Arabidopsis thaliana: one gene and its partners. The protein of the gene in region 2 interacts with the protein of the main gene of each other region in a pairwise test. Each region holds a gene or a part of one and is shown on either strand. Other genes may lie near its edges. The genes, in order: AT5G09450, AT4G23770, AT1G54770 and AT1G54120.

The links.
Region 1: the proteins of AT4G23770 (region 2) and AT5G09450 interact in a two-hybrid assay, tested with the Arabidopsis thaliana proteins (one large-scale study listed by BioGRID).
Region 3: the proteins of AT4G23770 (region 2) and AT1G54770 interact in a two-hybrid assay, tested with the Arabidopsis thaliana proteins (one large-scale study listed by BioGRID).
Region 4: the proteins of AT4G23770 (region 2) and AT1G54120 interact in a two-hybrid assay, tested with the Arabidopsis thaliana proteins (one large-scale study listed by BioGRID).

What each region holds. Positions count from the first base shown.
Region 1 is NC_003076.8:2,937,256-2,945,606, reverse strand, and holds AT5G09450 (Tetratricopeptide repeat (TPR)-like superfamily protein), read right to left. Parts: upstream 3,810-8,351; 5' UTR 3,744-3,809; coding exon 3,709-3,743; intron 3,620-3,708; coding exon 3,331-3,619; intron 3,189-3,330; coding exon 2,283-3,188; 3' UTR 1,939-2,282; downstream 1-1,938. Other genes in the region: AT5G09460 (transcription factor bHLH143), read left to right, coding at 190-1,170; AT5G09445 (uncharacterized protein), read right to left, coding at 4,414-4,653; EXL4 (EXORDIUM like 4), read right to left, coding at 6,374-7,210.
Region 2 is NC_003075.7:12,380,864-12,388,626, reverse strand, and holds AT4G23770 (uncharacterized protein), read left to right. Parts: upstream 1-4,130; 5' UTR 4,131-4,576; coding exon 4,577-4,901; intron 4,902-5,021; coding exon 5,022-5,113; 3' UTR 5,114-5,463; downstream 5,464-7,763. Other genes in the region: TBL24 (TRICHOME BIREFRINGENCE-LIKE 24), read right to left, coding at 1-137, 541-757; AT4G23780 (uncharacterized protein), read left to right, coding at 1,828-2,242, 2,321-2,424; AT4G23760 (Cox19-like CHCH family protein), read right to left, coding at 5,777-5,854, 6,510-6,782.
Region 3 is NC_003070.9:20,431,130-20,439,613, forward strand, and holds AT1G54770 (Fcf2 pre-rRNA processing protein), read left to right. Parts: upstream 1-3,420; 5' UTR 3,421-3,673; coding exon 3,674-3,885; intron 3,886-3,965; coding exon 3,966-4,026; intron 4,027-4,103; coding exon 4,104-4,181; intron 4,182-4,267; coding exon 4,268-4,380; intron 4,381-4,580; coding exon 4,581-4,686; 3' UTR 4,687-5,032; intron 5,033-5,162; 3' UTR 5,163-5,324; downstream 5,325-8,484. Other genes in the region: AT1G54740 (FANTASTIC four-like protein (DUF3049)), read left to right, coding at 1-609; AGL85 (AGAMOUS-like 85), read left to right, coding at 2,783-3,268; AT1G54773 (uncharacterized protein), read left to right, coding at 5,494-5,530, 5,623-5,654; AT1G54775 (Plant thionin family protein), read right to left, coding at 6,655-6,885; TLP18.3 (thylakoid lumen 18.3 kDa protein), read left to right, coding at 8,404-8,484.
Region 4 is NC_003070.9:20,202,639-20,209,728, forward strand, and holds AT1G54120 (uncharacterized protein), read left to right. Parts: upstream 1-4,291; 5' UTR 4,292-4,439; coding exon 4,440-4,814; 3' UTR 4,815-4,917; downstream 4,918-7,090. Other genes in the region: CCX4 (cation calcium exchanger 4), read left to right, coding at 1-1,414.

The DNA of each region.
Region 1 (8,351 bases), on a different chromosome or scaffold from region 2:
CACACATTTGAGCAACAGCTTCCACAATCGGTATGCTAACTGAATCTTTGACTCTTTATGGATTATTGCTTTCTTGAGTTGGGCTACTAGTAGTTGTCTCATTCATAGCCATGTCCAATGATTAGTCCCTTTCCTTTTTCGTGCAGTATTGTATTCCTGTAAAGTTCCCTTGGCTTAAACTGCAAGAGCATGCCTCTTGATACCAAACAGCAGAAATGGTTGCCATTAGGCTTAAATCCTCAAGCTTGTGTCCAGGACAAGGCGACTGAGTATTTCCGTCCTGGAATTCCTTTTCCGGAACTCGGTAAAGTTTATGCAGCTGAGCATCAGTTTCGCTATTTGCAGCCACCGTTCCAAGCCTTATTGTCTAGATATGATCAGCAGTCTTGTGGAAAACAAGTTTCATGTTTGAATGGGCGATCTAGCAACGGTGCTGCTCCAGAGGGGGCACTCAAGTCTTCTCGGAAAAGATTTATAGTATTCGATCAGTCGGGAGAGCAGACTCGTTTGTTACAATGTGGATTTCCTCTGCGGTTTCCTTCTTCTATGGATGCAGAGCGAGGGAACATTCTCGGTGCCCTACACCCAGAGAAAGGGTTTAGTAAAGATCATGCCATTCAAGAAAAGATATTGCAACATGAAGATCATGAAAATGGCGAAGAAGACTCGGAAATGCACGAAGACACTGAGGAAATCAACGCGTTACTGTATTCTGATGATGACGATAATGATGATTGGGAAAGTGATGATGAAGTAATGAGCACTGGTCACTCTCCATTCACAGTTGAACAACAAGCGTGCAACATAACAACAGAAGAGCTGGATGAAACTGAAAGCACTGTTGATGGTCCACTTCTTAAAAGACAGAAACTACTGGACCATTCGTACAGAGACTCATCACCATCCCTTGTGGGCACCACTAAAGTCAAAGGCTTATCAGATGAAAACCTTCCTGAATCAAACATTTCAAGCAAACAAGAAACGGGTTCTGGTTTGAGCGACGAGCAGTCAAGAAAAGACAAGATTCACACCGCTCTGAGAATCCTGGAGAGTGTAGTTCCAGGGGCAAAGGGAAAAGAAGCTCTTTTACTACTAGACGAAGCCATTGATTACCTCAAGTTGCTGAAGCAAAGCTTAAACTCATCAAAGGGTTTGAATAACCATTGGTGAAAAACCTACAACCCCTTTTGTCCTATTGATAAGGCATGTTTGGTTGGTTAAAGAGAAGACATGGGACAAAAGATAATCAATGAGGTAAAGGACTGATGAAGAAGATTCTCTCAAATTCATTAACGTGGGTTTGAAACAATTAGAACACGCCTGGTGACCCTAGTGGGACCGTATCCACTGTTCATCTAGCTGGATCAATAGTGGTTTACTTTTGGATTTGGCATGCTCTCTCAAAAAAGAACCAAAAAAAAGTCACTTTCTTCTGTGCTTGGAGTGGAAGAAAAGTGAAAGAAGGGAAAAAAGCAAAGTCTTGGTGCTCATTGATCGTTAATAATTATCTTTACTCGTGAGTAATAATAATATCTCTGTGAAGGTCTGGTGGTGGTGGGTGTGGATGAAGAAAAATCAAAAAGGCAAATATTGAAATTTTTGGAGTGGTTGTGACTTGTGGAAATTGAAATCTTCCCACTTTCATTAGGTGAAAATCTATGTCCCCACTCTCTCTTGTCTCATTATTACTCTTCTGTTGCTATCAATCCCATAACTTGTCATCTTTTTTGTTTTTTCTAATCTCTCTGGCTCTTAAGCTCTTCAAAGGCCTTGTAGTTTTGTACTATTGTAATGTTATTTGCTTCTGTTGTTTCTCTCATGGGTCTAAACATGTTTGTGTATCATGTTCATGTAATAAACTCGAGTGTTAATAATGGAACCTTCTTTGGCTTCTTACATGCTAGGATTTTGCTCTAACCTTTCAAACTATCATTTTTTCTATACCAAAAACAAATTTTGTAGACTTATTATTAAACAACAACCATACAAGAAAAACCTCCACAATCTATTTTTTGTTGTAAAATTTGGACTTTTTGAAATTTGACGTTACATATGAAATGTTATGGACCTTGCCTAAGGAAACACATCTTCCGACTATGCAGCAAAATCTTCTGGTGAGGAAATCTATGTGTCTCATGACCTCCCACGTAAAGAACAAAAAGATATTTAAGAATCACAGTGAAGAGAAGAAACCTCTATTTTATTCATCCACCATGATTAATGAGCTTGATCTGATTCTTCTTGCTAAGAGCATAAAATTTTCACCAACTTATTTCTCCATCTTAAGATGATCCTTCATTCTCCAAGCTGCATTTGTTATGCACCAAGATCAAGTGAAAGCCGCTGGCTATTCCCTCTAAACCAACATCTCGAAAAGCATTCAAGATCCTCAAGCAAGCAGAAGCATCAAACTCTGTCGTTTTAGACTCTTTCCACTGATGGATAATCTCCTCGGCTTCTCTCAAATGACCAAGCATTAGATAAGATGAAAGAACACAAATGTAGCTTCTACTACTCAATATCTGGTTGGTGTTTCTCAAAGACTTCCAAATCTGATCTATCATAACCTTGTTCCCTAGACCAGTGTGCAGAATCATAAGGAAGTCATATGTGATCCATTCTCTTTGCGAAATAGATTTCTCAGCTTCGACAGGCAAAGTAGACTCTGCATTAGTTACTCTACTACTGTTTATGTAGATGCTAGTAAGATCGATATACCGAACCCAACCCTCATTGGAACTAGCATCATGCCTCATCTCTTCAAGAATCTTTCTAAGCTCATCTATATTAAAGGTTGCAGCACATGAACTTAGCCACAAATTATAAGTAAAAATATCCGGAGAAACCTTTTTCTGCTTTAACACTTCAATAACCTCAGGTACTTTCTCAACTTGCCCAACTGACATGTATAAAGTCATCATCTCGTTGTATGTGATGGCACCAAAAGTGAGACTATCACTCTCAATGATTCTCTTGAACAAGGCCTCGGCTCGTTCGGTTTGTTTGGAGGCAGCATAAGCATGAAGGAGAGAAGTATAGGTTTCAGCTGTCTTTGAATCTATATCCAGACCTTCAAAGTAGCGTTCAGCTGCATCGATCCCGAAAACTTTTGAAATCAGATCTATGCGTGAGGCGTAATCAGCATCTGAGATCTTTGATTCTTCATGCTGTACCATCCACTCTGTAACCTGTTAATAATACTTGAATTAGCTCCCAGAAGAATGCAGTTTTGTGCAGCAACACATAACAAATCATAAATTGTGCAATCAATCTAGAAACTAGGAGCTACGAAGAAAAACCAATGAAAAAGGAAATGATCGATGTTAGTACCTCAAGAGCGTGCTTGTAACGGCGAGTTCTCCTAAGCTCTTTGGAGATCTCTCGGAGTTCATTGATAGTCATTTGATTCCCTTCTCCAATCCATTTCTCGAGAACAGTAGTCGCGCTACGTTTCGGAAGTCTCAATCTGAAAATCCTGCTCTTCAGATCGTCTTTCTCCTCCGATTCCTCGACAAGGGAGTTTCCGATTGCTGCGTCAGCATTGTACGACTTGGAGAATCGTGACGATTCGGCGTTTCGAATGAAATTGCTTCCGAGAACACCATTATTCGTCAATCGACTAAATTCATAAGAAGCAGTGTGAATCAATTATCTCAGGAAACAAATACGAAATCAGTAGGAGACATAGAGAGGTGGAGGGAGACTCACCATCTAAGACTATGGAAGAGCGAGCGAGTCGCCATGAATTTTCAGTTCCGACTGAAGAGACCAAAAAGATCTAAAAACCGATCACTTACTTCGAGAAACTCGAGTTTCAACAATTTTGTGTCGAAAAAATAGCAAAAATATCTAATGGGCCCATGAAAATCAGCCCATTAGCTCCAAGATAAACAACCACCAACGATGTGGCAATTCGAAGTTGAAGGCATTAAGTATTTGGGGATTGGTATAAGGCGTGGAATGTTTGGGTTGGTTATTGTGAGGCCTTGAATGGGCTTACGGAGTTGAAGGCTAACTCTTGATTCTTATTATTTTATAGATTTGGTGTCGTTTGCTTTCTTTTTTGTAAACTCTCAATCTAGTTTATTTCTATCCAGTCTCTCGATTTCGTTATTTGTTACAAACACGATTATATGGAGAAGTTGCTATCAACTATCATGCGGCTGATACTTTTTCTGTTATAAATTTTCAGGACTCTAATGAGGCCTTTAAACTCTTTAGATTCAAATGTTATATTTTTGGTTACTTACTAGTTACTAGTTATCAGTTGGAACTTGAAACCAAGCGTTTTGGTGTCTTCACATAGAGAATTAAAGACTTGCCTAGAGTTAGATTTGCAATTTGCATAGTATATTCAAAAGTAAACATTTCATATTTGATAAAAAAAATAAAGTATAGTGTCTAGTAGGCCTGTTACGGATCCGGATATCCGGGTTTTTTTGGAGTATCCGGATCCGGTCCGTAACCGCCGGATCCGTAGATATAATATTCGGCTCCGCATCCGTTTGCTACGGATATTCGGAATCCGGGTATCCGCAAAAAAAATCGTCGGATCCGTTTTTTTTCTATGGGGATCAAATCCGATTCTCTTTTACAACCCAGATCGAATCCACCAATGTTTGTCATAAGCTTTCGCAATCTACAAACCACCATTTCCAAGCCATGGCTTTCTTCTATTCTTCACCTTTAACGACATTGATTCAGTTCCCAATTAAGCGACGAGCGCACGATCTCGAGTCGGAGGTAAGTGGTGACCATTGACGAGAAGTTCTTGCGGGGCTAACGACTGAGGAGAAGATCTCGTTCATGGATTCATGGCAATGGAGATGAGATAGAGACGGTGAAGGAGATGGTTTGGAGACGGTGAAAGAGATGGTGATGGAAGAACGGCGGCAGAGAGAAGACAAGTTGTGAAACCCTAATGACGTGTCCCACCAAATCACAAACAAACTCAAATTATGTCACTTTGTCGTATTGGGCTTATATGGGCTATAAGATTAATAATATCAGTATGTATTAAGCCCATGATATCAATGTATAAGCTTAATTGGTGTAATATCATATTACTAGCGGATTTTAGTCTCAGGACTAGTAATATGTAGATATTTTGACGGATCCGGATATCCGGATGTAATTTTTTTTGTTATCCGGCTCCGGATCCGGGTCCGTCTGATCCATAAATTTGTTATCCGTATTCAGATCCGTTTAGTCCGGATATCCGATTTTTCGGAGCGGATCACGGATCCGGATCCGGATATTCGCGGTTAGCGGATTTTAGTCCCAGGGCTAGTGTCTAGCATTGAAAAGTAAAAGATATTAGGGGAAAAAGGAAAAAAAAAAACACTCTTTATCATTTGAGTTCAGGGATCTGATGTGAGGACAAGAATTGGAAGATGTTTTGAAGTGAAGGGGGAGTGAAATAGATTTGACATAAAACATTGGATATATGACTTGATTAGGAAATGTTTGGATGTGAAAATTGGAGTCCAAGATGATTTTTATGGGGTTCAGTGTTACCAACTCTTAAAGAATGTGGCTCTTATTGAACGAATAAAAATAATTGTAGGTGTAAATTGTGTAACCTCCAATAAAACCTTTAACAAGTTGTTATTGGAGCGACTTCATTGAAAGCTTACTGCTTTCACTATCGTCAGTAGAGTCCATTGATTCGACAGGCCTGCTCGAAGCACTCAACACCAACCAACCCACTGCTCATATTTAAGAATTTATGGGACAATTCAATTCAAGTTACTAAAAAGGTGAGATTGGTAGGAAAAACTGGATGATAAAAATAAAATCATTTTTTCCAGTCCCACAATAAATACTATACTATTGTTTAGTAAGCAATACGCCAAAACCTATAAGCTATAGCTTTTATTAAAAGTGAAAAAGTGATTCTATATGTTCTCTTTTCTCTTATCCCCCAAGTCCCAACATCGCCTTTATTCTCCACCTTCCTTTAGATTATTCATTCTCTCTTTTTGTTTGTTCTTTTTACCGTATCATTGGTATCAACACAACATAATTAATATCTTAATCCATTTTTCGTTTATCTATAAAGTTTGATTCCTCTGGTTAAAAGTTAAAACAAGGTCTTGATACTAATCATACTATATACAGTATATACTAACGTTATAAGATTATAGGTGGAAACTACAAATCGTTATTATTAAAATAGATATATGAATCTATCTTTCACATATTTCCAAAGATCGAATTTACACAGGGCATAACAAAATAACAAAACAAACACATCCCTTTCCCCAAACTCCGAACCAGACGCGATAGATATCTACAAACTTTCTTTGACTACAACAAGCTTTTAATCACCATCAATTCTAGCCACGTGTCTCGTTCACAGACCATCTAAAATTCAAACCATAGTTTTACACGTCGAAGTCTGAGGATCCCACAACGCCGGCAATAGATATTTTCTACCGGCGAGACCCAAAGCGTTGTAACTCGCTCCACTCGTCTTGTCTACGAGAACCCGACCCGCGTAACCCGGGTAAGCACCCGAACCGAATATCCCGGTACAAGCCGAGACAGCTTCTGGAGACGGATTCGTTACGGTGTTAACAAGAAGAGTCGCGATGTTTATAATCATTCCGTCAACTCCGACGTCGCCGTTAGGTGCGACTAACGGCGGAGACTGAGGTCCGTAGATAGGCTGATGAAACGGCCACGCGCAGTAACCAGGACACTGCGTTTCAGAGTTTCCGACCCACACGTAAGCTCCACTGTTAACGGAACTTGACTTTGACCCGTGAGTCCCGCATCGGTTCATACAGAGTCCCTCAACGGTGACGTCTTTCGCCGTTAAGACGACGGTTATTGACCGAGCACCACCAGCGTTAAGTTTGCTTGACAGAGCACGAAGGTAAGGGCTCTTTAGGGATTTTCCGAGAGGGTAATTCTCAAGGAGGAGCTGTTTACCGACAACAAGAGTTGAAACGCCGGTTTTGTACTTCTCCGTCGTCTTCCACCACGACGCGACGGATGGACCTTTGGCGGCGGTGACAGAACTGATAGAGCGGATGAAATCGACGATTATGGACCGTTGGATTGGGGTGAATTTTCCGTACCAAATGAGATTAAGAGTAATGTTTCCGTTCAAGGTTCGAACCGGAGGCTTCAACGCGGCTGCGGTAAAGCCGACGGTGGCGGAGAGGAGAACGAGAAGAATGGCAAAACGGTAGTTATAAGCCATTTTGGGAGTATATAGAGTGAGAAGAGAGGTTGTGTTCTGTTTTTGAATATGAGTTTTGTGAAACCATTGAGAGCTTATTTATATACCGAGGTTTTTTGAACGGGCAAGAGCTGTAAAATGCAAAGAGCGTACATGTCAACGTATGCCACGTGGATATATTTAATTGGTTAGGCAAGTTTTTGGACAGCCTGTAGTAAGGTTCTTCTTAGGGTGACGTGGTAGTTTCCATAAACGTGTATTATCAAGTAGTACTATTTTTTGGTTTTTAAAATTTTCGAAATGTAGATATTATGCGACAGGGATAAACACTTCCGTGCATGTCCGGATAAAAGTTTATACTATTTACGTTGAACAGTTTACGTCTGAAGTTATTGAAAGATGCAATTCAATAAATTCAAGGGTTATCTTATCCTGCTAAATAAAATTAATTTAAAAAATTGAATAAAAACAATGTGGCTATGAAATGTTTAAGGACTATGCGCATTCTAAACGTTTTTAATTAAAACACCAAGTTACGGTTACATGTAATCATCATTGACAAAAACATGGGCGTTTAAGATGACCGACTCAGCCCATACAAAAATTGCTGAAGGTAAGACCAAGATACATTGATAATACGATTGGCTCAGATGGTTTTATTGGTGTATAAAAAAAATTGGCTCCTAAAACAAAATTTACGTATATATAGTTTTTAATATTTCCCTTATTTGCATATCATTGAGAGAATGAAATCAGAATTTGGATTTATTAAAATAAAAATGACATGCACTAAGAAAAAGCTACTAGCTATAGCTAAGCTAAGCTACATGTCTTGGCTATATATATTGCAATTAAACATTAGATATTTTAGTTTATCATTCGAGTATACGATTAGCTGCAACTAGACATCTAAACCGACATACACTAACCACACTAATATCGTAATAAACCATATTATTTAAATGCTGCTTCCCAGAGCTATTCAAAATCTATTGTTTTGAGGGAACCCATAATGGAGATATAAAGCACTTGGTTACTGTAGTAGGGATCAAATCCTTACGTATTTCAGTAATCAATATTCAATAATACTATGGAACTATGTATACAGTATCAGTATGTAAGTATATAGAGATCTACAACTTACAAAGTATTTTGAGCAGTG
Region 2 (7,763 bases):
TAAGTCAGGCCGGCCATTGGTGATACAATTTTGGTGACCGTCAATGAGTGATCCGCATGATTTGTTTGTGTAGATTGGTCCTACTGAATCTGGGATCCATTTTCCGGCGAAAAGATCACACTTCTCTACTTCAATATCTGATTCAAGAAACAACAACCACCCAAAAAAAAAATTAAGTCTCAATGTGAGATCAACTTTGATACAAAATGTTGTAACACTAGTCCAAGATCAATTTATTAGAAACCAGTCTTTGAACATTGCAGCTAATTAGCATCACTTATCAAATGATACAAGTCACCACAAGAATAACTTTAAATTAGAAGAGCAAGATCCATGAATTGTCATTTCCTTTTTTCTATTCTCTAAACCACAATCTAAAAAAAAACGTAAACAGAGCTTTAAATCTTGTAGATCCAAAACCCTTAGATCTCATAAATCATAATTGTGCTCACAAAACAAGGTTTAGTCACAAACAGTCAAACACAGTGGACAATACACATAGAAGTCAAATACTTTTGCTTTCTAAATAACTGATCTTACCTTGAGGAATCAGATCTTCATTTTCCGGTACGATAATCTCCGGCGGCAGAAACCGAGCTTCGAATTTTCCGGTGACCGACGCAAAGATTGGAGAAAACTCGCTGGAGTGGAGAATGAAGAGACGGAACGCGAAAAAAGATATCAGAATAGCGGAGATGAGCTTGATGAGAAGCACATTCTTATGATTCATGGAGATTGATGACAACTTCAACTTCATCTCAAGAAGAAGATGAAGATATGCAAACAGTTCAGTGAGTTGTTTTTGCCTTTTTGGTATTTGTGTGTTATGTTTATTCGACCGACCAAAGCTCTGGGGACTTTTCTTTATTATATGTTACTAAATCATTCGACCATTTCTAAAAAAGAACCATACAGTAAAATAATGAATAGAGACGTATTAATCTATTAATCTGTTTATATCACACAATTAACCAGACTGGTGATATAATGTTTGTTTCAATTCCTTCAAACACTATTTTATAAAAGGATTTCCTTAGTTAGTTAGTTTAATTACACTAAAATACTCAGATTTGTAAATTTTTTAACGATATTGTTATACATCTTTTTCCAAAACTTGAAGCACATTTTCAGACATTTATGATCAATATCATCTCATATAAATACATTCAAATCCATTGATATGAAGGATCACCTAATTAGGAGACCAGAAGTGTAATTAATTAACATGGAAAGAGTAGAAAACAAGGAAAGGCAAAAAAAGAGTTCAGACAGCAATACTTGGTGTTTGATTGATAATGGGCTTGGGCCGCTGGGCTAATGATTTGGGACTAAAATAAATATTAATTTTTGAATAATGATAATTAATTTAGTTAACTATCCATCTTCTTCGTTAACGTTTCCACTCTCTGCTTTCGTCTTTTCCCGCTCTCTGTTTTCTAGGGCTCATTAATCTGTGTTCCATTGTTACGATTCGACCTTTTCTGCACAATTTCTCTCATCTAACCGAGCTTATTTCTCTGTGATCGAGAAAAGATCAGCAATTTTACTTTCCGAGTAAGATTTTCTCGGGAAAACTCCTTTTCTCTGTTTCTTTAGTTTTCAGTTTGCATTTGGGAGAAACTGATAGGAATACTTTTGAGAAAGTCTGAATCTTTCGATTTTTTGCGAACATTTTAGTTTTGGTAGCTCAGTGGAGATTTGGGGTTTAGGGTTTTTGTAGAGTGAGACTGTGTGAAAGTTTCTAATTTGCGAGTGATTTCTCAGAAAATCTTTGTGGTTTTGTGTATTTTGTGTTATTTACAGGCTTAAGCTTGAACTTGAACACCAATGTCTAGTCTTGGGAACCAATCGGAGAAGAACAGCAATAACAAATTTTCCGATAATGTTCCACTAGCTCAACACGAGATTTGGAAAGAGAAATATGAGAGTTTGGTGACAGAGCACGAGAATCTGGTGAAAGAACATGAAACCCTAATCAAAACACTCGAGCTTATAGAGAAGCACGAAATCACATTAGAGGATTTAGTGAAGAAGAAGCAGCGAGAAGCATTGGTTGGGAAAGAAGAGATTGAAAAGTTTGACAAGGAGATTGGTGAAAGGAAGAAGATGCAAGAGATGCTTGATAAGGATCTTGAATACTTAAAGTCTTGTGAAGAAACTGTGATGAATGGTATGAGTTCAGGACCAAGTGGTGCAAGAGTTGCAGACAAACGTAATGTGAACAAGTTTGAATCACAAGAGGGTAATTTTAAGTGTTTTTTGATATGTGTCTAACTAAATGTGTTAGCATTACATAAACTAAACATGTTTCTATTTGCAGATGTGATAGAGATTAGTGACGACGATGAAAGAACCCAAAGTGAAAGCAATGTAGGAAACTGTAACTCATCACATAAGAATTTAGAGTACTCCTTCATATTGTGATCAAGATGTGGAGATGGAGAAGCACAATGTCAGATGTGGTGGTGAAACTGGAAGTTTCAAAATCTTTGGAAGTTAGTAGAAGTAGATGACTATGAGTCTCTCTGATGGACTAGGAGGGTTGATAAGATATGAAAGTTTGTAGTGTAACTGTGTAATAAGTGATTTAGCCCAACACAAAGTTGTAAGAGAAGCAGCTTGCATCATTAATCTACTTTCAGATTGTTCTATATAGTAACAACTAAACAAAAATTGAAATAACTAGCTAGTTTATGATATTCATTGAATCTGATGATAAGTTTATTCCTCTTGGAAGATAGAGATGATTATAGCTTAGGACAGGGAAGTACAAGGTCCTCATTTTTTTTTGGCCTCAAAATGATGTTTTTTGACTTTGTACCTTTTTTGATCCAAGTGCACTCTACTTCTGCAATCATAGAGTGCTTCAACAAGAGAGGGATTAACTCCAGTATTGCCCTCAAAGCATTCTTCAAACGGAAAGGTCTTCAAGCAAAGGTATTGTATATAAGGTTGTGATTGGCGACACAAAAATTGCGGATTTCAACACCTAATTCGAAAAACCGCACTATTGTTACCAATCACCATTAATTATTACATATACACGTTTTTTACTTTTCTATCAAAACACTATTCGCGTTTTTCAAAATAAGCTAAAAACTTACAGACCGCTTTTGAAAACAACAAACTTCCATAATCATGCGGTCCAACCAATTCCGCAGTAAATTTTACACATATGTTTTATTGTATTTTTTAATTATTAGAAGCATTTTTATAATTATATATATAATTTTTTACCCAAATAAACATATCTAAACTTTTCTTTCGCTTTATTATAACCTGTCTTTTTTTTTCTCTCTCTTTTTTCGACATCATCATACTTTTCTTTAGGTTCTATTATATAGAGAACTTTTGGAGTTTGGAAAAAAAAATGGAGGATTCTTTCTGATTTTTCAAAATATAATGTTCGTATTAAAAAAAAAGTGGTAATGGCTATAATGAGATTACATAATTTCAAACTTTTCAGATGCAGATTTTGCAAATGTAATAACAGAGACAAATAAAAATAATAGAGATTTTGATCATGATTTAGATGACATAGAAGTAACAGAGATAACAAATAAAAAACATATGACGCAAATAAGAGACAATATTACAAATATGTTATGGGAAAATCAAATTAATAAATAATATTTTTTAAATATTTTTATGATGAAATTAGTCAACACATGTAACGATATGTTTGTTATAAAATTAAATTTATATTTTGATCAATTTTTGTGTTAGTAGTTTATAAATATTTGTTATTGTTTATTTATTAACACAAAAAAATAATTAATTAATATATATATATATAATTTATAATCCGCACTGCAAGTAGTTTTTTTCACCAATCAAACATTATTTTGTACCGTTTATTTTGTACAAACCGCACTAATTCTGCAAATATATTTCTTCCGCACGTACCGCAGTTGAACCGTACCGCAGTGTAATAACGCTTTCCCCGCACAACAAAAACAGCGGTTACCATTCGGACCCTAAGTCTCTGCATATAAAATCTGGAATATGGTTAATCACTAAAACCAATCACTAAAGTAAAGTTGAAGGAGACAAGAAGAGTGTATCAACTGGTGAAGATGGGCTTGGGCCACTTGGCTAAATGAGTGGTGGAGATTAAAACTTAAATATTATTTTTGAACAAGGAAAATGAAATAAAGTATCATCTTCTTCGTTACTAAACACTCGTCTCGCCTTTTCCCGCTCTCTGTTTTCTAGGGTTCCATTGATACGATTCCATCTTTGTCGCGTAGTCTCTATCATCGACCCGAGCTCCTTTCTTTGTAACTGAGAAAAAGATCGACTTTTTTCTTTTCCGAGTAAGATTTTCTCAGGAAAAATAAATCCTTTTTTTCTCTGTTTCTTTTGGTTCCGGTTTGGGTTTAGGACAAAAATGGTGTGAATCCGTTTGAGAAAGACCGAATCTTGTGGACTGTCTCTAACATTTTAGTTTTGTTTTTGGTTGCTCAATAAAGATCTGAGTTTTAGGGTTTTGTAGATTTTAAAGTTTCTCTTTTTAAGGACACATTTCCAATTTTTTTTGTTAATCAGGTTAATCTTGAATTGATTAAAGACAACAATGTCTAGTCGTTTGGACCAATTGGTGAACAAGTACAACAAATCGTGTGAAAATGTTTCATTTGCTGAACACATGATTTTGAAAGACAAGTATGAGAGTCTGGTGATAGAGCATGAGAGCCTAATTAAAACGCTCGAGTTGCTAGAGAAAACTCATGGATTCACTGTTGAAGATCTGGTGACTAAGCAAAAAGAAGCATTGGAGAAGAAGGAAGTGATTGAAAAGTGGGAGAACAAGTTTGGTGAAATGGAGAAGAAGCTAAAGACTGTCGAAAGGAGTATCGAATACATAATGTCTGTTGATGTTCAAACCGGTGTGGATTCAGGTAGTGCAAATAGACCTAATGTGAAGAATAGTTATCAAAGAGGGATATTTTAGTGTTTTTGATATGTGGTGTGTCCACTTACTCTATCAAACCATGTTCTCTGACTAAATCTCTATGCAGATATGTCGACTAGTGAGGACGATGATGGAAACCGAAGACAAAGAAAAGGAAGACTCATTAACTCATCAGATCATGACCACTTCATTCTTTGATCAAGATCTGAAATCAATTTAGGAGATGGAGAAGAAGCACAGAGTCAGAAGTGGTGATAATGGGAAATTTCAAATCTTTTTAAGTTAGTAGTTCTTGTTGCTTTTATTTCTAGTAGGTGTATATGACTATGAATATCCGCTGCATTGTTCTTGCTATTGGAGTAAGGAGATTAAGATATGAAAGTTAGTATGTTAAGTGGATTTAGTATCACATAATAAGGTAGTAAGAGAAGCAGATTCCATCTTAAATCTACTCTCACATTGTTCCATAAACCGTTGAAAAAGAATTAGTTTAGTGATTGAACATGTTCTGTGTTCTTTAATGAATATCTGAAGATGATGAGCAATAAGAGAATCTGATCAACGAAAAAGATAATCTGTACGAATGAAATCGACAACACGGTAGTAAAGAAGTAGTTTGCAACAGATGATTTGAATAAGTTAGCGATCGAGGATGAGAGATTAGCCAAAATAAGAGGGAAAGTCAAATGTAGAAACTTTTATTTCTTCTTATAAATATGCTCTTTAGAGTTTGCAATATTCAACATACAAGACAACAAAGGGGAAACAAGGCATGACCCAGCTTATGAATCCAAGGCATGACATTAAAATCAATTACATGATTACAACTCAAACGATAAAAGAAAATCGGAACAAAGAACGTTATGAAGGTCTCTTTGTAGCTGAAGCTGCTCCCTCAGAGTCGTGATCTTGACTCGGTATCGAGAACTTCTTTACTTTCTGTAACATTCATTGTTCAAAACAAAAAGCCAAAAACTTCAATGAGAAATAGAGAGATTTCACTAGTTTGCACTTAAACGTGATTCTGTAAGGATCCATGTTACGCATAAAAGTTATAACCCATCAAGATCAAGACCAAGAATGGGAACAAAACCAGTTCCTACTTTGATTGCTACCTATAAAAAGAGACTAATAGTGAGCTTTCTCATTCTCTAATGGCTTCCACAAGAAAATCTGTAGTTTCTCAAGAATCATCATTGCATTGTTTCTACTTTTCTCGAGAGTAAGGGTATTAGCTTAGAGTAACCTAGTGTCTATGACAATCACTCAGAAACTGTTAAGTGTAACCACAGAGTTATTAACACAGATGTATCAAGTAAAGCTCCAAATGCTCCACCAATAACTTGGCATTTACATATTCATTACTCAGTAGTAGAAAAAAATGTGATAATTTCTCAAAAGTTTTCTATGAGAGACCAAGAGCAGCTCCAAAATTGTCATAAAGCATAAGTGACAATAACGATTCGATATATCTTGATCGATCGATGATAGAATTTTAAAATTTAGATACCTTGTCCTAAAAATTCAACTGACTTATAAAAAAAAAATGAATCACGAGCTCGTAGATCAGTAATTAGAGCGATAAAAAACCAACCTTTGATAGAACGCATTCTCTGAGAGATTGCAAAAATCGGACGCATTTCTCTTGATCGAAAGGAGACTCCGCGACGCAATTGAGAAGTTGGAGAGCCTCTTGGCCGCAAATTGGTTGAGTACTCTGTTTCTCCATTGAAGGTATAAACCCTAAAGAGGGGTTTCTCAGAGAGACAAAGATGTTTCCAGTGAGACGGATCACCCACGATCTCGGGGGCGACGACTCAAAAAAGAACAAAATCTTTAATGGGCCATAAAGCCCATCTGAGTTCATTCATCAAAGCCCTTTTAAGCTTTCTTTAACTCTTGTTCAAACTTCTTAATTAGCCCATAATGTTTTGACTATCAGAACAATATTTGATATACATACAATTATAGTCGTGGATGGTTGGTAGATGATAGATCGTCAAAAAAATTAATGAATGACGATGTAGTATAGAAGAAACACAATAATTTAAATAATTGTACATAATATTGAAACGTTGATTACACAAACCATCACATATTAACAACATTAACTTTGATCAAAAGCTGATTAGTACTCGCTACATGATCACCAATTCTTATAGAGGAACACACACAAAATCTCGGGGATATTTATGATGTTATTAAAGCCGTGACCATCGTCACAAAACTAGTAACGTTATAACACCTATATGGTACAATATTCACACTCAAATTAGATTGTTACATTATGGAGAAGATAACCGAAAAGGTAGTTGGAAGGTTAGTTCAGTAAAATTGAAAGGGAGAAGCAGAGCAAACATGTTAAGTGCATGGGAATGGCACGAGAAATGGTACGTGAAATATGAAGATGAATTAGACATCATTTAATTTCTTTGTTGGTCCTTCTTTTAATGTATTTATTAATGTGTCTCTGCCACTTTTCATGAGACACTGTCTCACTCACTTTCTATTCCACATGTATTTTTACTATCCACATTCTCTATATATGTTAATGCCTCTAATTTGTACGGTTTGTATGCTTATCTTGACCATGTAAATATGTACACTATCCGACCACACATCAAATTTTTGATTATATTAGAATGTCGGTTGAGTAAAACTAATTCTATATTGAATCATGGGTTTAGATAATGTATTGTGTAAAACTTTGTATCTTAACGAAAAATTAATGCAGAATTCATTCTTAAAACATTTCAAAACTATCGTATGTACATCTCTGCTAAATCTCAGTCAAGATCAATATGTCATCAGGACGTGAAAGACATATAATGGCTGATGATAGACCAAA
Region 3 (8,484 bases), on a different chromosome or scaffold from region 2:
TCATTAAACAGCCGTGGACAGCGATATTTTTATCTCCGTCCGGTGAGAAAAGACGGTAGATTGGAACTTACGCAAGTTATGGTCGATCGACCAGAGATTTTCCACGTTTCTAGAGTAGATGGACGGTTGAGATTACATTTTGTCGATGGTGTCGAGAATCCCATTAGAGCTTATTCTGGTCCTCAAGAAATTGTGGCCTTAGAAGAGGAACCTAAGGGTCTAGGTAATGAGAAAGAGGGAGGGGAGATTAGTAGATCTGATCTGGAATGTGGTAGAGAGATTAATGAAGACGACAATGATGGTGCATGTAATCAAGGAATGGATTTATCTATAATCAGTGATGATAGTGGTGCAAGAAGTTGGAGATGTAAAAGTAGTCATGATGTTTCGGTGAATAGTAATAATGATGTTGCACATTTCCATGATGACCATGACACGAGAGAATGGATGTACAACAGTGGTTTTAAGATCGTGGCAAGTAGGAACCATGATGAGAACAATCATCATCATTATCATCATCGTCATCGTCATCATATTCATCCATACCATCATCATAATAGTAACAATAACATGAATTTATGGACCCGGACGTACGTGAGGACCAGGTGAGGTTATTAATCAATGTTTTTTTTTTTTACGTGGCGGCTTGAAACAAAAAATATATCAACTAAAAAAGAGTACAGCTATATTTTCTCTGGAAGTTCCGTTGTATTTTTATAAAATATTCGAAAAGTCAAAGGTTGGGTGTTGTTATAAGTAGTGTCAACAATATGATAGCGTGTGAGTGTAATATTATTGTTCGTTTAAGATGCTTATGTATATGACTTCCATAATTGAAACATCTTATTACAACTTTCAATTTTCATATTATTATGCCTTTTTAACAAAGTATTATTCCAATTTTGATTACACCGTTTTTTATTTATGTAATTTGATCAAAATAAAATCGACAGATAATCTCTTCAAAAGTTTAGAGTTTAGATGTTCCAGTTTTAAAAATAATTATGATGAATCCGGAATAGGCCACAATTTTTTTTTTTTAATACAAGATTTTAGAGTAAAACTCGTAATCCTCTCAGACACGAAACGACAACATGTAATATTAGTTTCGTTCCAAAAATATCGAACTGACGATTTTTAAGCTTCGGCTAAGAGTTTTACTAGTTCAGCAATGATACTTAGTGGAATAGGCCACAATTCATATGTTATAATTCAATGTTTCATCATTTAATGTTTTAGAATCGAACTTAGTTTGGTGTTAGTTAAAATCTTTTCGACCCTCGTAATTAAGAAATAAGGAAAACATAGGTGAAAAGATAGAAGGCAATGTAACGCAAACGAGTCTGTCTGATCGGTCCAATTGTTGGTCATTCGTCCATATATAGCTGTCTGTTGAAAATTGGAACATTAATGTTGTCAAAATTCTAAGATTGCAGGTTGCATTTATAGACTCCATTTCCCTCCACAATCGACAGGTCACAGGCCTTTACGCCACATATAACCCCAAGATACAATGCATATTTAAAAGTTCTTGTGAACTGAAGAAAAGTTTCGACGGGTTGAGATACGAGACATTGAATTTTGGAGAAGAAAACAAAAGCTAGGGAAAAAGTTTGTGGTCCGCAAAACATTGAAATGCAATAAGAAAACTGAGTTAAAAATTAGAGTAGGAGCCGTGTTGATTCCCTAGGAAAGCTTCAAGTATAGGAGATTGCATGAAACGTTTTGATAACGGAAATGTTAAGCCTAATAAAAGGAAGTCACCTCCTTATGGGGAGTTTATTACGGCCTATACATCGCATGTAGAAAACGAGTTTCTCGGTTAGAACTTAAAATGGATTTGGAAGTAGTGGTTGGTTTTCTGAAGATAAGGGTTAGTGAAACTTATCCGCTGTCTTTCCTGTTACGCTTGTGACATGGCTTTATATCAAAGGATTAGAATATCAAAATTTCACATATTTACCGGGAGGATAATCGTTTTGCGGATGAATTAGCTAACCATGCTTTTTCTTTAAATTTAGTTTTTCACTTTTTAGATACTATTCCAAGATGTTCTCTTTTGTCGGATGATGCCCGTTGTTTGGCAATTCGATGGCATGTTGTTGCTTGTTAAGTTTTTGTATGTTGCTATGAATAAATTTGGGGAGGCATTATCTCCCCGTCCCCTACCAATTTCTTTTTTTTTCTTCTATCCCATATATATATATATATATATATAAATTTCGAAAACTCTTTGCTTTCATTTTCTTAAAAAATCACGTAAACATAATTTTAGAAATAATTAAATAACAACTTATAATATTTTTTTTTCTTCCCATATATATAAACTCCGAAAACATATAGTCGTATATTATTTCTTAAAAAATACTTTCAATTGACTTTTTCCTTTTGTATTAAAATCTATTCTCCCACATATTTGGTAGTTATTTAAAATTGTAGTTCATACAATCACAGTCTTTACCAATTAATTTAAAAATCATACAGTCAAATTCCTTACATCAAAAATCCTTATAACCTTTAACTATGCGAACAACAAAGATTACCAAACTTCCAAACATTGATCTACAGATTGACTAATTTTTATGCAATTTAAATTACTACCATTTTTCCATCTATATAAACCCAATCTTGCACCCACAAAAAAAAAAAAAAAAAGAGAAACACATACTTAATCTAAATTTCTCCTTTCTTTATAGTCAATTCATATTTTTGTTTTCTTCCAAAATGAATCCCAAGAAAACCAAAGGAAAGCAAATGATTAACATCAAAAAAATTGAAAAAGATGAAGACAGATTGGTCACATTATCTAAGCGTCGAAATGGAATCTACAATAAGCAATGAGCTTTCCATTCTCTGTGGTGCTGAAGTTGCGTTTCTCGGATACTCTTGCTCAGGAAAACCATACACATTCGGCAGTCCGTCTTTTCAAGCCGTGGCAGAGCGATTTCTCAATCGTGAGGCCTCATCATCGTTGCAACGATCGGTCATGAATGCTCACCAACAAGCGAAGATTCAAGAGCTTTGCAAAGTATACAATAGAATGGTGGAGGAGGCAAAGACGGAAGAAGCCAAAGTAAAGAAGGCAGCTGCATTAGCGGAGACAATGCCCGTAGATGAGGATGCGTGGTGGAAAGTGGATCCAAAGGAGGTGGAAGATCACGAAGAGGCGAAGAAGATAATGGAAAAGTGTGAAGGGCTCTATGAGAAACTGTGTAATGAAGCTGCTGCAAGGATCCAAAGAGGAGATGCTGAGAATAATAACAAATGATCCATTAATGATTAAGATTTTAATTAGTAGATCATTACTAATTAAGTATTTTTGAGTCTTAAGAATTATGTTTTTTTTTTTGTCTTTTCTTTTTTATACATTATGAATTGTTATTGTTTTCTACAACATCCAGCAATGGATTAATGAAACTGAAATATTTTATACATAAAAGAAGCCCATTACAGCCATTAGGCCCAATTCGTGATCTATCATCTACTCAATCTCTAACCCTAATATCTCCAATCTTCATCTCCGTCGATCTCCATTGATCTCTAACACTAAAATTCTACTACTCTTCACTTTCTACAGCTTAGGAAGAGTTCTCGACAAGCTGATTCTTCGAGTTCTCGACAAGTTTCAGTGTTTTTGTTTCCGGGTCACAGAGAACAAAGGCAATTTACAATAATGGCAGAGACTAAACAACCACTGATCGGTCTTAAATGGGAACCAAAGCTTCCAGGCTTATCCTTAGACTTGAAAACTGGTTCAACCAGAAGCAAAACAGCTGAGAGTTCTAAGTCAGAGCTTGTTGATGGTCTTTGTCTTCCACCTAATGATCCAAGGAAGATTAACAAGATGATTAGAAAACAACTCAAAGACACTACTGGTTCTAACTGGTAACTCTTCTTTATCTCCTCTACTCGGATTAGTTTGATCCGGCTTGTGATTAAATTGTATTTCTTCAAACTGTGGATAGGTTTGATATGCCTGCTCCAACAATGACTCCTGAGTTGAAAAGAGATCTTCAGTTGCTTAAGGTAATAGATTCTTTTGCTTTTGTTGTTGTTTTAGGTTCCATAGTCCTTACATTATTCTAATTGTATCTTTATTGTAGTTGAGAACTGTAATGGATCCTGCTCTACACTACAAGAAATCTGTGTCACGGTCTAAACTAGCTGAAAAATATTTCCAGGCAAGTTTCAGAACTAGATCAAAGAGAATAACCGTCTCTTTCGGTTTCTGTCTTAACACAAACTTTTGTTGTAAAAAAAAAAACAGATTGGTACAGTAATTGAACCAGCTGAAGAGTTTTATGGGAGATTGACAAAGAAGAATAGAAAAGCAACTCTTGCTGATGAGTTGGTTTCAGATCCTAAAACTGCTCTCTACAGGTTAGTTACTACCATTGTCTATTAAGAAACAATGTATAGGAAATGCTTAAATTCTGTAAGTATTATTGATAGATGTAAGTAAAATAAGTGTGTGGTTTATCTATTCTATCAAGAATTTGTATTTTTGAGAATTTGTATTCATATAGCACATGTGCAATCTTTGTTAAGTGAATGTTTTTGTGTTGATTATGGTTTTACAGGAAGCGTAAAGTTAGGGAGATTGAGGAGAAGAGTAGAGCTGTTACGAATAAGAAATGGAATAAAAAGGGAAACCAGTCTAAGAACACAAAGCCAAGAAGGAACTGAATTATTTTTGTTAAGAGTATGATCATAGTTTTGGGACACATTTTTTCTATTTTTAATAGAATATGGTCATAGTATTGGATACACTTTCTTGCGGTGATATAGGTTGTAATGACTCTTGTTGTTTATGGCCTTTGTTTAAAGGATTTTGTGTTATTGGTTACACCTTTGATAACTGTAATAACTCTTGTTGTTTATGGTGCTTATGTTATGTATATCCAAAACCAAACCTTGTCTAGAGCTACTAGGTGGGAAACTTGTTTCAGCAAGACTGAAATTGAGTCCTAGTTTACACCTTTTGCAGAATTGCAGGGTCCAACCACGAGAGCATCGAGTTTTATACTTTCAGGTAGCACTCATAGTACCTCCCTGTTTGAGTCATCTGGCACTGACCATGCCACACATATTTATGTCAGCACAGCAAAACTTTGGTATTCAGCAAGATCTAAATTATGTGACTTTCTTCTTTTGAATCATAGTTGTAATGAGGAGGCTAAGAGTATTGCTGCAGCTGCTTCGAGCAGGGGAAAGATTGAGGTCAGTTGTTTGAATTTTTGTTTTCGCTCGGCGTTGTTCTATGATATTATATCAGCTCTTTGGAATTAAGAAGATGAATTGTGTGTGTAGGATTTAAATCTATGTCAAGTTGAACTGTTTAAGCTTGCTTTTTTTTTTTTTTTGAATCTGTGTATTGGCTCGGTGTTGTTAGAATCTAATTTCTTACTAAGTATCTCGACAAAGTCAGTTTCTTGGAGAGTGCTGATTACAGGCAGTTTGAGAAAGAGAGAGACGCTAGTTTGAGAAGACACGATGAGACCGACTCCTCTAACGTTCTTCTACATCTGCTGTAAGTAATCTTGTTTTCTGTTCTGTTAGAGAAGTCTTCTTTAGTAGACTTTGTAGCATTTTCTCAAGTGATTTGGTCACATTCTTTGGCAGTGTCTAAACCGAGTCCCCGTTTTCTTGATTGATTCGGATTTATTTCTTATGTCTCTCTCGAGAGAGAGTTCAAAACTGAGACCATCCTCTCTGAAGGCCATGGCCAATGAAATGGGCTTGCAATGCAACGTAAGCCCAACTTGAATCCCACGATTCTAATTCGAGCCGATATCTGAAACAACAATTCATTTGTGACTGCAATCTACACCAATCTACACCTTGTTCTTGTAAATCGTTTGTTTTCTTAGTTTCTACCTAATGAAGCTCATTTGGTCTCTATACAACATAAATTTCTTCTTTTGGTTTTGAAATCTAAAACCTGAAGTAAAGCTTGATTGATTTGGTTTATGGATTGCAGGGGAAAAAGTGGCTCTCTCTTTAACATTTACAAAAAAAAAAAAAAGTGGCTCTCTACAGAGTTGATAGTCGTAAACAAGCAAGCTCGTGTTAGGTTTTTTCTATTGTTGGATGGTTTTGTATCAATGTTCTCAATATTGTTTTACTAGATAATGAAGATAACTTTTATATTGTAAATATATTAAATTCATTTTGTAATTATTATTTTTTGGACAAATATAAATGCATATATAAGTAAAAATGTGATAACACGTTTCATTGAGTGTATATTTAAAATGTAATTATGCAAAAAAAAAATTAAAAAATATTTAATTAGCAATTTAGAAGTTTAAACATCAATTCTGTTTTGAGAAAATAGTATAGTTTATAGACATGTAGTATAGCTAATGTTTATTTCACACATATGCCAATTTTTAGTAAATAAATCGTGAAGTGATCATCACCATAAAATCTGATGGCCGCAATTCAAACCCATGTAATCGAATTTTGTTTCTAAGATAGAATCTAACACAAAATAAATTAGTATACATACATGATATATTAATTTTTTTTTTGTAACATGATAGATTAATTAATTTAAAGATAAGAAACCACACACATAAATTATTTATAGATTTTTAAAAGTTTCAATATTTATTACATAGAAACCCAAAAAATCCATCATAAAAGCGGTTATCAGGAGGCGTGTAAAATTTCACTTGAGCAAATTTGTTTTGGTTGCAGAGATTTTTGCAAGCAATTCTCACAAAAAGGAAGAGTTGCCGTTTTAGAATCTTTCATGCACTGATTTGGGACACAATGTTTAACACATACTTCTATCGTACTCGCGTATGTTGAAACTATCATCGTTAATAAAACTACAATCATCAAAACACTATATATCTTTTTCATTGTTTCAGTTGCCATTATTTGAAAATATGAGTTTGTGAATGTTTGAGGTAATAAAAATATTGTTTAGGTTATATAGCAAAAAAAAATTAACAAGATAATTAGTGTTGAGTTGGCTTTTTGTAGTTTTGTACTTTATATAGCAAAAGTATTTTTATCCACTTAAAATTATTGATTTTGGAAGTATATCCGTTTCTTATTAATTAAAAAGTTAGTTTTTTTTTTGTTTATGTTATTAGCTGTCCAAACAATCTTGCAATGTTAAATCGTCATTTACCAAAAAAATTGCCAAATTTTCACCATTGTCAATAATAAGTCAAATATTTTATAATCTTAATTCAAAAACTATCCCCTAAAACATGATTATATAAAAAAAAAATCGTATTGATGGGTCGAGATATTTAGCATTAACTTATAAACCAAAATGAATTTACAGGTTGATTTGATCTATTTAAATTTATTGGATTCATAGGTTGACCTAATTAATTTAGCTAAATAATTTATCTAACACTCAACTAATTAAGACAATAGATGGTACCCATAATAGATTAAATTTGAGTAACTTCAAAAGTTTCTATTCAGTTTTTTTTCTTACAATTTTTTTGTGGTATTAATTCTAAAGCATTATCAATAATATTGTCACATTTTTAAAAATCTTATTTCAGAAATTATCCCCTAAAAAAGATTATAAACTAGAACCTTTTTTTTGTATTGATGGGTAGAGATATGTAATCATTTAACTTACAAACCAAATTGAATTTACATGTTGATTTGATCTATTTAAATTTGATGGATTCATGGGTTAACAACAACAAGAAAAACAAAATTAGTTTAATATTATACCACATGTCACGCTCTAGTGAGAATGTTAAGAGTTTATGTAATAACACTAACAAATTTTGTATATTTTTCCTATACTATAAACATTTTTAATTTTTTTTTTTGAATATATTAACAACAACAAAATTAATAGAATGAGGTTAATAGTTTAATATATTAGCATTTTTTATATAAGAAGTAAATTTTATTTATTTTTGAATATTTAACAAAAACAAAGTTTAATAAAATTAGTTTAACAGTTTAAAATAGCAATAACAAAAGTCGAACATAAAAACAATTTTTTTTCTTACTTAATATATATATTTCTTTTTTCGATAGGATTAAGAACTTTTGTATTTCTATTTTTAAAAATATTAACAAAATTAAGTTTAACATCTTAAGTTTTAAAAATTTGGCAAATTTTTAAATTACATATATTTTTATTCTTTTGTTTTTGAAAATAGGGAGTAATAGTTAATGTAGTTATAGACTATAGAGATGCATTGTCAACAATAAAACGCCACGTCGCAGCATAATTAAAATCTTTTGCACAAAAATGTGGTTGGCCTTAGCCTTGGCCCTGGAATTAAAACATTATCCAGAAAATCTTACATTTCCACCAATCCTTCACTTCCTTTCACGATCCAAAACAAAACACAAGAAAATGCAACAAAATCTTCTCCATCTCTGAACTCAAAAACTCATTCACTGAGAAAAATGGAGACCCTTCTCTCCCCTCGTGCGCTCTCTCCTCCTCTCAATCCCAAACCTTTGTCCCTTCACCAGACCAAACCCACT
Region 4 (7,090 bases), on a different chromosome or scaffold from region 2:
AACTGTTGCTGGTGTTACTTTGCTTCCACTTGGTAACGGAGCTCCTGATGTGTTTGCGAGTATAGCTGCTTTTGTTGGTTCAGATAAAGGGGAAGTGGGTCTCAACAGCGTCTTGGGTGGTGCAGTGTTTGTGACTTGTGTTGTTGTTGGGATTGTTTCACTTTGTGTTGCGGATAAAGAAGTTAAGATTGATAAGAAATGTTTCATCAGAGACTTGAGTTTCTTCCTTTTCACATTGGTGGCTTTGATGGTGATTTTGATGGTTGGTAAGGTGACTGTGGGTATTGCCATTGCGTTTGTCTCGATCTATGTGTTTTATGCTTCTCTCGTGGCTGCGAATGAGATTTTGAGGAAACATTCCAGGAGGTTGAAGCTGGATTCTATTACGCCTTTGCTCCCAATGCAAGGAAGTGTGTTCTCCTCCCCAAGTGTTGAAGAGGATATTCCTATGTACAGCCCGTTGATGGAGCTTGACACCGGTGAAGGTCCACCTCGGCTACATGATTCTCTACCACAGTGGATGTGGGCTACAAATGTAGCCATCTATTCAAACCATTTCGCAAAAGCCAATGTTCATGATGAAGAAAGACCTCCATGGGGGTGGACCGAAGATGGTGCAGAAGTCGAGAGCTCGTTATGTTCTAAAATCACATCTTTGCTGGAAACTCCACTGACTGTTCCTAGACGGTTGACAATCCCATTGATTGAGGAAGATAGCTGGTCAAAGACGTATGCGGTGGCTAGTGTCTCGCTGGCGCCTGTCCTACTTTCCTTTCTTTGGAGCAGCCAAGATGATACGAGTCTTCAAGCTCGCATTGTAGCCTATTTTATCGGAATTGCGATTGGATCTACTCTTGGATATCTCGCGTTCAAAAACACAGAGCCCGACCGTCCACCTCAAATATATTTAATCCCTTGGGTACTTGGTGGATTCATCATGAGCATCGTATGGTTCTACATGATTGCAAACGAACTTGTTGCACTTTTGGTTACATTTGGTGGAATCTATGGAATCAACCCGTCAATACTCGGTCTAACCGTACTTGCTTGGGGAAACTCAATGGGTGACTTAGTGTCAAACATCGCATTGTCAATGAACGGTGGAGATGGGGTACAAATCGCGTTGTCTGGTTGCTACGCAGGTCCAATGTTTAACACGCTTGTTGGGTTAGGTATGTCGATGTTTCTTGGTGCTTGGTCGAAAAGTCCAGAGACTTACATGATCCCGGAGGACAATAGCTTGTTCTACACTCTAGGGTTTCTAATATTCGGATTGATTTGGTCTCTTGTGATGCTCCCACGCAACGAAATGCGACCGAACAAAGTGATGGGCATTGGTCTTATTACACTGTATCTGATATTCGTCACTTTCAGGCTTAGCTCCGCCATGGGATTCATACCTTGGGCTTCTTGAAACGCCATTGTTGCCAGCTTATTGTATACATCATGTTGTTAGAGATATAGCCCACTGGTTCTGAAGTAAATGTTGTTTGTATTATTATGCTGATGTAACTGAATGAATCTGAGCCATTGGATCTAGATAGTTGTGGTAGATCTCGATCGTAGATTGGGACAAATGGATTATGTATTCGAAAATGGGGACTAATGGGCCTTAGTATAAATGGGCCACGGCTTAACTCAATAGTGTTGCCCCACTTGTTTCGTTAGCTTCCACTTGTAGTTGTACATCGTCGTCACGTGGTAGTGCGATATTCGTATCGGAAAAATTAATTGTTTATCTGATTTTCAATTTTCATGTTACGTAACAAAGAAACATACGTTGTTATTAAAATAGTTTATACCGATTACTATTGCTTAGCTAATAATTAGATTTAACTAATCGACAAGAGAGAATAACAAGAAGTTAACGACAAGAAAAAAGAAAAAAGAAAGGACAAGAAGGCAAATAAATCATTTTCTTGGTGAATGGTTTCCAAATTATATTATAAACAGTATATAGCATAAGTTATCATGTACCAAATGATTCTCTCGCATTAAAGTGAATAGAGAACAAAATGGGTCCAAAGAGCAATGTAAGTATGTGCCGTCGTGGAGACCAAGGCGTAAGGTTAGGCATGTCGTAGAGACTTATCTACTACATATACACATTTATATATTTCTCTCTTGCGCATGAAGTAAATGTATTGTGTCATACCTTATGTCACTTGACCACCCTCTTATTATAAGTACTATATAATATTTATGAATTTTGAATTGATACCATATAGTGTATCACAATCTCGTAACATTATATAGGTACTATATAATAGTGTTTGAATATGCTCAACTCGGGACAAGACATCTAAGAACATGTTATATCTTATTGCTCTGTTCTCGCAAAAAGACAACTCTGACACTCATATGGGTTGTGTTTAATTACTTTTGGGTTTATATATATGCCATTTTGTTGTTTTTACTGGCCAGTTTAACTTTAATATTCATAACAATTAGATTATATGTGAAATATATCACCAGATCTAAAAACATTAATTTATGATCGATAAACCAAAGCATTTTTTTCCTTTTTGTGAGAAAATGTTAAAACATAATCTTATGGTTTCTGAAATAATAGAGAATTGTTTGTTTATAGAAACAAAACATAGAGTTCAGTATATGTAATATTATTTTGATATTTACAAAATCAATGTTTAGAATACCGAATTTAAAACTACATATAGCGGGATTGCTATTGTTGATCTTTCGATTTAATGTCGTACTAGATTTAAACCCGCGGTATACCGCGGGGACAATTTATTTTCTTAAAGTTAGTATATATAAAAGTTTACAAATTGTATCTATCAATAAAAAATTTTCATTTTATAGTTTACAATTGTTATTAACTAACGTCCTGCCAAACCCGTCCCGTAAAAAAACCTATTTATTTTATTAATGTTGATCTTATTTATGATATGTTTATAAACCATTGTCTAAATAATTTGTAATTTTGTAGTAATTAATTGCTATCAAATATCTCTACGGTTTGCTGCTTATAATCGAATTGTTATAGTCATAAAAAAAAGCAATATCAAAAATGATAATTTTGTAGTATTTAAATGATATTAAATATTTTGGAAGTTTTATTTTAGTAACTAATCGTATAGTTAATGCAGAGAGATTTTGGGAAGGTAGTTAAATGCAAACATTTAATTCAAATATTTACTTTTTAATTATCAAAAACATTTATTAAATGTCAGTGACAGCCACTGTAAATAAGTCCCAACTTGAGGATTTATTTCACAAAGTGGCTGCAAAAATGTATATGTAGATTCGAACTTTTTTTCTTTAACCACACATTAGTTAAAAAATAACTTTCTAACTATTTTAAAATTTATATTTAGCATATTTTTTTTAAAAAATGAGTCGAATTAAACACACACTATAGTTTTATATGCAATTGATAATGATATATTACCCTATAGAAAACGTATCCGTTATATTATATTGTACTCAAGTTATGTGGACCACAATATAATATATATCGAATTAATAAACATTAAGTTGAAGACAAGCTCAGCGACCTATCTTCAGTCAATCATTGAAATTTCTTATCATCAAAGAATTGTAGTAAAGCATATACAAAAATAAGAAGACATGTGTATGTTATTAAGTGTTTAAAAATTACAGAAATTGTTTTATGATTCAAAAAGGGAAGACATGAAAACAAGTTCATGCTCTCTGCATGAGACCTCTAAACTAAATCGTCTTTCTTTTGCAATATTATTGGAAACAAAACAAAACATAAATGTGCTGCCCATTTCTAATCAAATTGATATACCTCTCAATTTCTCCCTATCTTTTTTGTTCTTTTCAAAGTATAATTTAACAAATTTTGTATTTGTTATAGAATCCACAAAGAGTAAATTTAATATAGAATCCGAAAGAACACATATACATATATGAGATTGATATGTGGTCCAGTATAGTTTTATGACAAAAATGTCGTGACATATAGGCCATATCCCTTAAATCAAAATTGCATATACTAAAAAGAAAAAAAACCCAGGCATCGTGGTCTGGTGGTAAAGGAACCTCGACTGAGGCGCCCGCCACCCGGGTTCGATTCCTGACCACCAGGGAATTAACATGCGGATTTGCTTTGGCGCCTCAGACCACCAGTTCCAGGGGACCCTTAAGTAGAGGCTCAAAAATCCCTGGTCGCGGGCTTCGGCCCAGTGGATAGTCAGATCACTGTGTGGTCAGGACACTAAATTATAAATAAAAAAAAAACAAATTTTTTTTTTTGCATATAATACTATCTTACGAAAGATGTCACATGTCACATGAAAGGTCACTGACCCCAAACTAAAATGTATATACACAATTTTATATACGTGTATGTGTGTCTGTATATATTAGTTTCTCAATGTGGCCTCTCTAAAACATAACAAACTCTCTTTCTCTTTCTCTCTCTTTTTTCTTGTCAAAAAATTACTATCCAAATGGATCAACGCATCGCCGCAATCCCCGTGTTCCGGTGGTCTAGGAGCCGTCGAAAGATTCATATCCGTCGCCGTAAGTCGCAGGTGGTACGTCTTGGTGGGAAGAACAGTGCGGTGTCACGTGGCGGATTCTCGTTAAAGAAGATGGTAAGGAGGATGAAGCTGAGATGGTTGAAGCTACACTACGTGAGAGTTGTGAAGAAGATAAAAGTGTTTTATCGTAATTTGGTTAAAGAGTTCGTAGACGCAGGAGCTGAGCTTGAAGCGATTCAGCAGCGAATGGCGGTTGAAGCGGCTGCGTTTGCGGTTCCCGGTTTAGGTCTCTCTTTCTCTTCTTTTTCAGTCCATGACCGAGCACGGTATTTTCTTGTATAGCCAAAATTATATTCTTTGTAACTTTGTATTATTTTTCCTGTTGTATCTTATATAACTATTTTATTGTAATTTGTTAAATTTTAGAATCATCCCTGGTTGTGTCAAAAAAAAAAAAAAAGAATCATCCCTGGAAAATGAAACTGTTATCAGTATATGGTTATATAGTTTATTAAATACGATTTGTTAAATTTATACATATTAACAAAATAATATTTCATAAACTGTAAATGACATGTAAGCAAAAAAAATAGTTCTAATATTATGGTAGAAAATCTGCAATTCAAATAATCATTCTCCATCTATTAATTACAAATTATTTACGACTCACTCTGGTGAAATAAAATTGCTTTACTTTGTTATAAGTTTATAAAGTTTTCTTTTTCTTTTACTTTTGAGGGATGAAGATTAACTAAATTTCGTTATTGTAACCAACAAGACAAATTTTATTCTCTACAATAAATGATAAATATTATATATCATACATGCACATCAGTCATCAAACGAACAAGTTAACACCAATAGTGAGAGATTCATAATTAAACTATGGTCCTGAACGGATGCTGATTTTCAATTCAGTTTTTGGATTTAGATTTTAGTTTATAGATTTTAGATTTTAGTTTTAGTTTTTTGATATTATAGTTTTGTTTCAAAAACCCCAAAAATTGGTTTTTGGTTTTTGAGAAAAATAATGTTGATTGAGTAAAAACTAGATTTCTTAAATTTTAGGAAAACTAAAAAACTAAAATCATGAATGAAAAACTCCAACAAAATTATTTTTTTAAATTGTAGGGAAACCAAAATTTTAAAATCTTGATTGGTATGAAAATAAGTTTTTGAAAAACAAAAACCAAAAACTCTTAAAAAATCTACAAAACATTCAAGGCCGTTGATAACTGTATATAAAATACTAGTTTGATAAAGATAAGAGAACATATAAGTAAAGAAATGAATTTTTTTTTTTACACGACGTTGTCCTCTTTTACAGTATCAAATTACAAACATTTGAATGAATGTATTGTCTGGGCTTGGTAACGTGATTGATCATGGAATGAGATGAACTAGAATCTTGTATTGTAAGTGATTGAGTTAAGGTGGCATTAGTTGCTAGAAATGCAATCATCAGACGATGAATTATTAAATAAATTATCATTTGATATTCAGATCTCATATTGATACATGTACCGTGTTCTTACATGACAAACTCGTCGTTTCCCCATAAAATTCGAATATTTTAACACTTATCTGGACTTTCGACGATTGCTTTAGATTCGAGAATCTCAATGCTTGTATATTACTAGTACCAACTTGAATTATTCTCAGTTTTCCACACATTTGAATTATTGTATAACCATATAGTATTAAGTTATTATCACAGTTACAATTTAAAAAGTCATTATGTAAACATCTGCTAGAAATCCATGAAATATTATATACTTCCTCTATAGCATAAAATTGTACGGTCGGATATAACAATATATTCCAATTGGGAACGACATCAAGAACCTACCATGAATTCGAGTTAAAATAGTAGATTTGGCACTGAAATGTTTTATGTTTTACATTGCAGTCATACTTCAAAGATTTAGTGGTTCTTGTTCTCATCATGTCCGAGAGCATACCTATCTAAATTTTGGTTATTACTTCTCGGTTCGATCCATTTGGTTTTCCCCACAAGGTCCAACCCACGAGCCTAGTGTTGTCTTTAGTGACACATAACAATCCTCGCAGTAAAATATGCTATTGATATCACGACTTGTAAAATATGATAGATATCAAGCCTCTATTAGTAGATGGATCAAATCATACATCATAAGTTCATAACCTACGAAAACAACACTACATTCAAGCCAGATCAATAACTAATAGCCCAATGCAGTAAAAATGGGCCTAAAAGCTTGCTCGTTTTGCGTTTATTTTTGGGTGAGAGAAAAGCCCATAGGATCACGACCGGTCCACAGAAACAACAATAAATCAAGCCAGACCAATAAAAACTACGGTTTGACATTGTTCCCGTTACAGACTAAACCGAAAATAAACACGTTGTGACGAATGGTACGTTAGTTATTACGTGGTTGCGTGGAAAAGAAGAAGTTCCACGTGGTGACTAAAGTTTGCACGTTGCCTCTTGACACTTTTGCTTCTAACGTAACCATTTCTAAATTTTGTTTTGGATTCAATTAATTTCCACGATATTGAACGTTTATATTCAGAAACTCATGTATACATGACTTTTTCAGTTTCCGACCAACAATTTAGGTCTCATTTGAATTGATTTG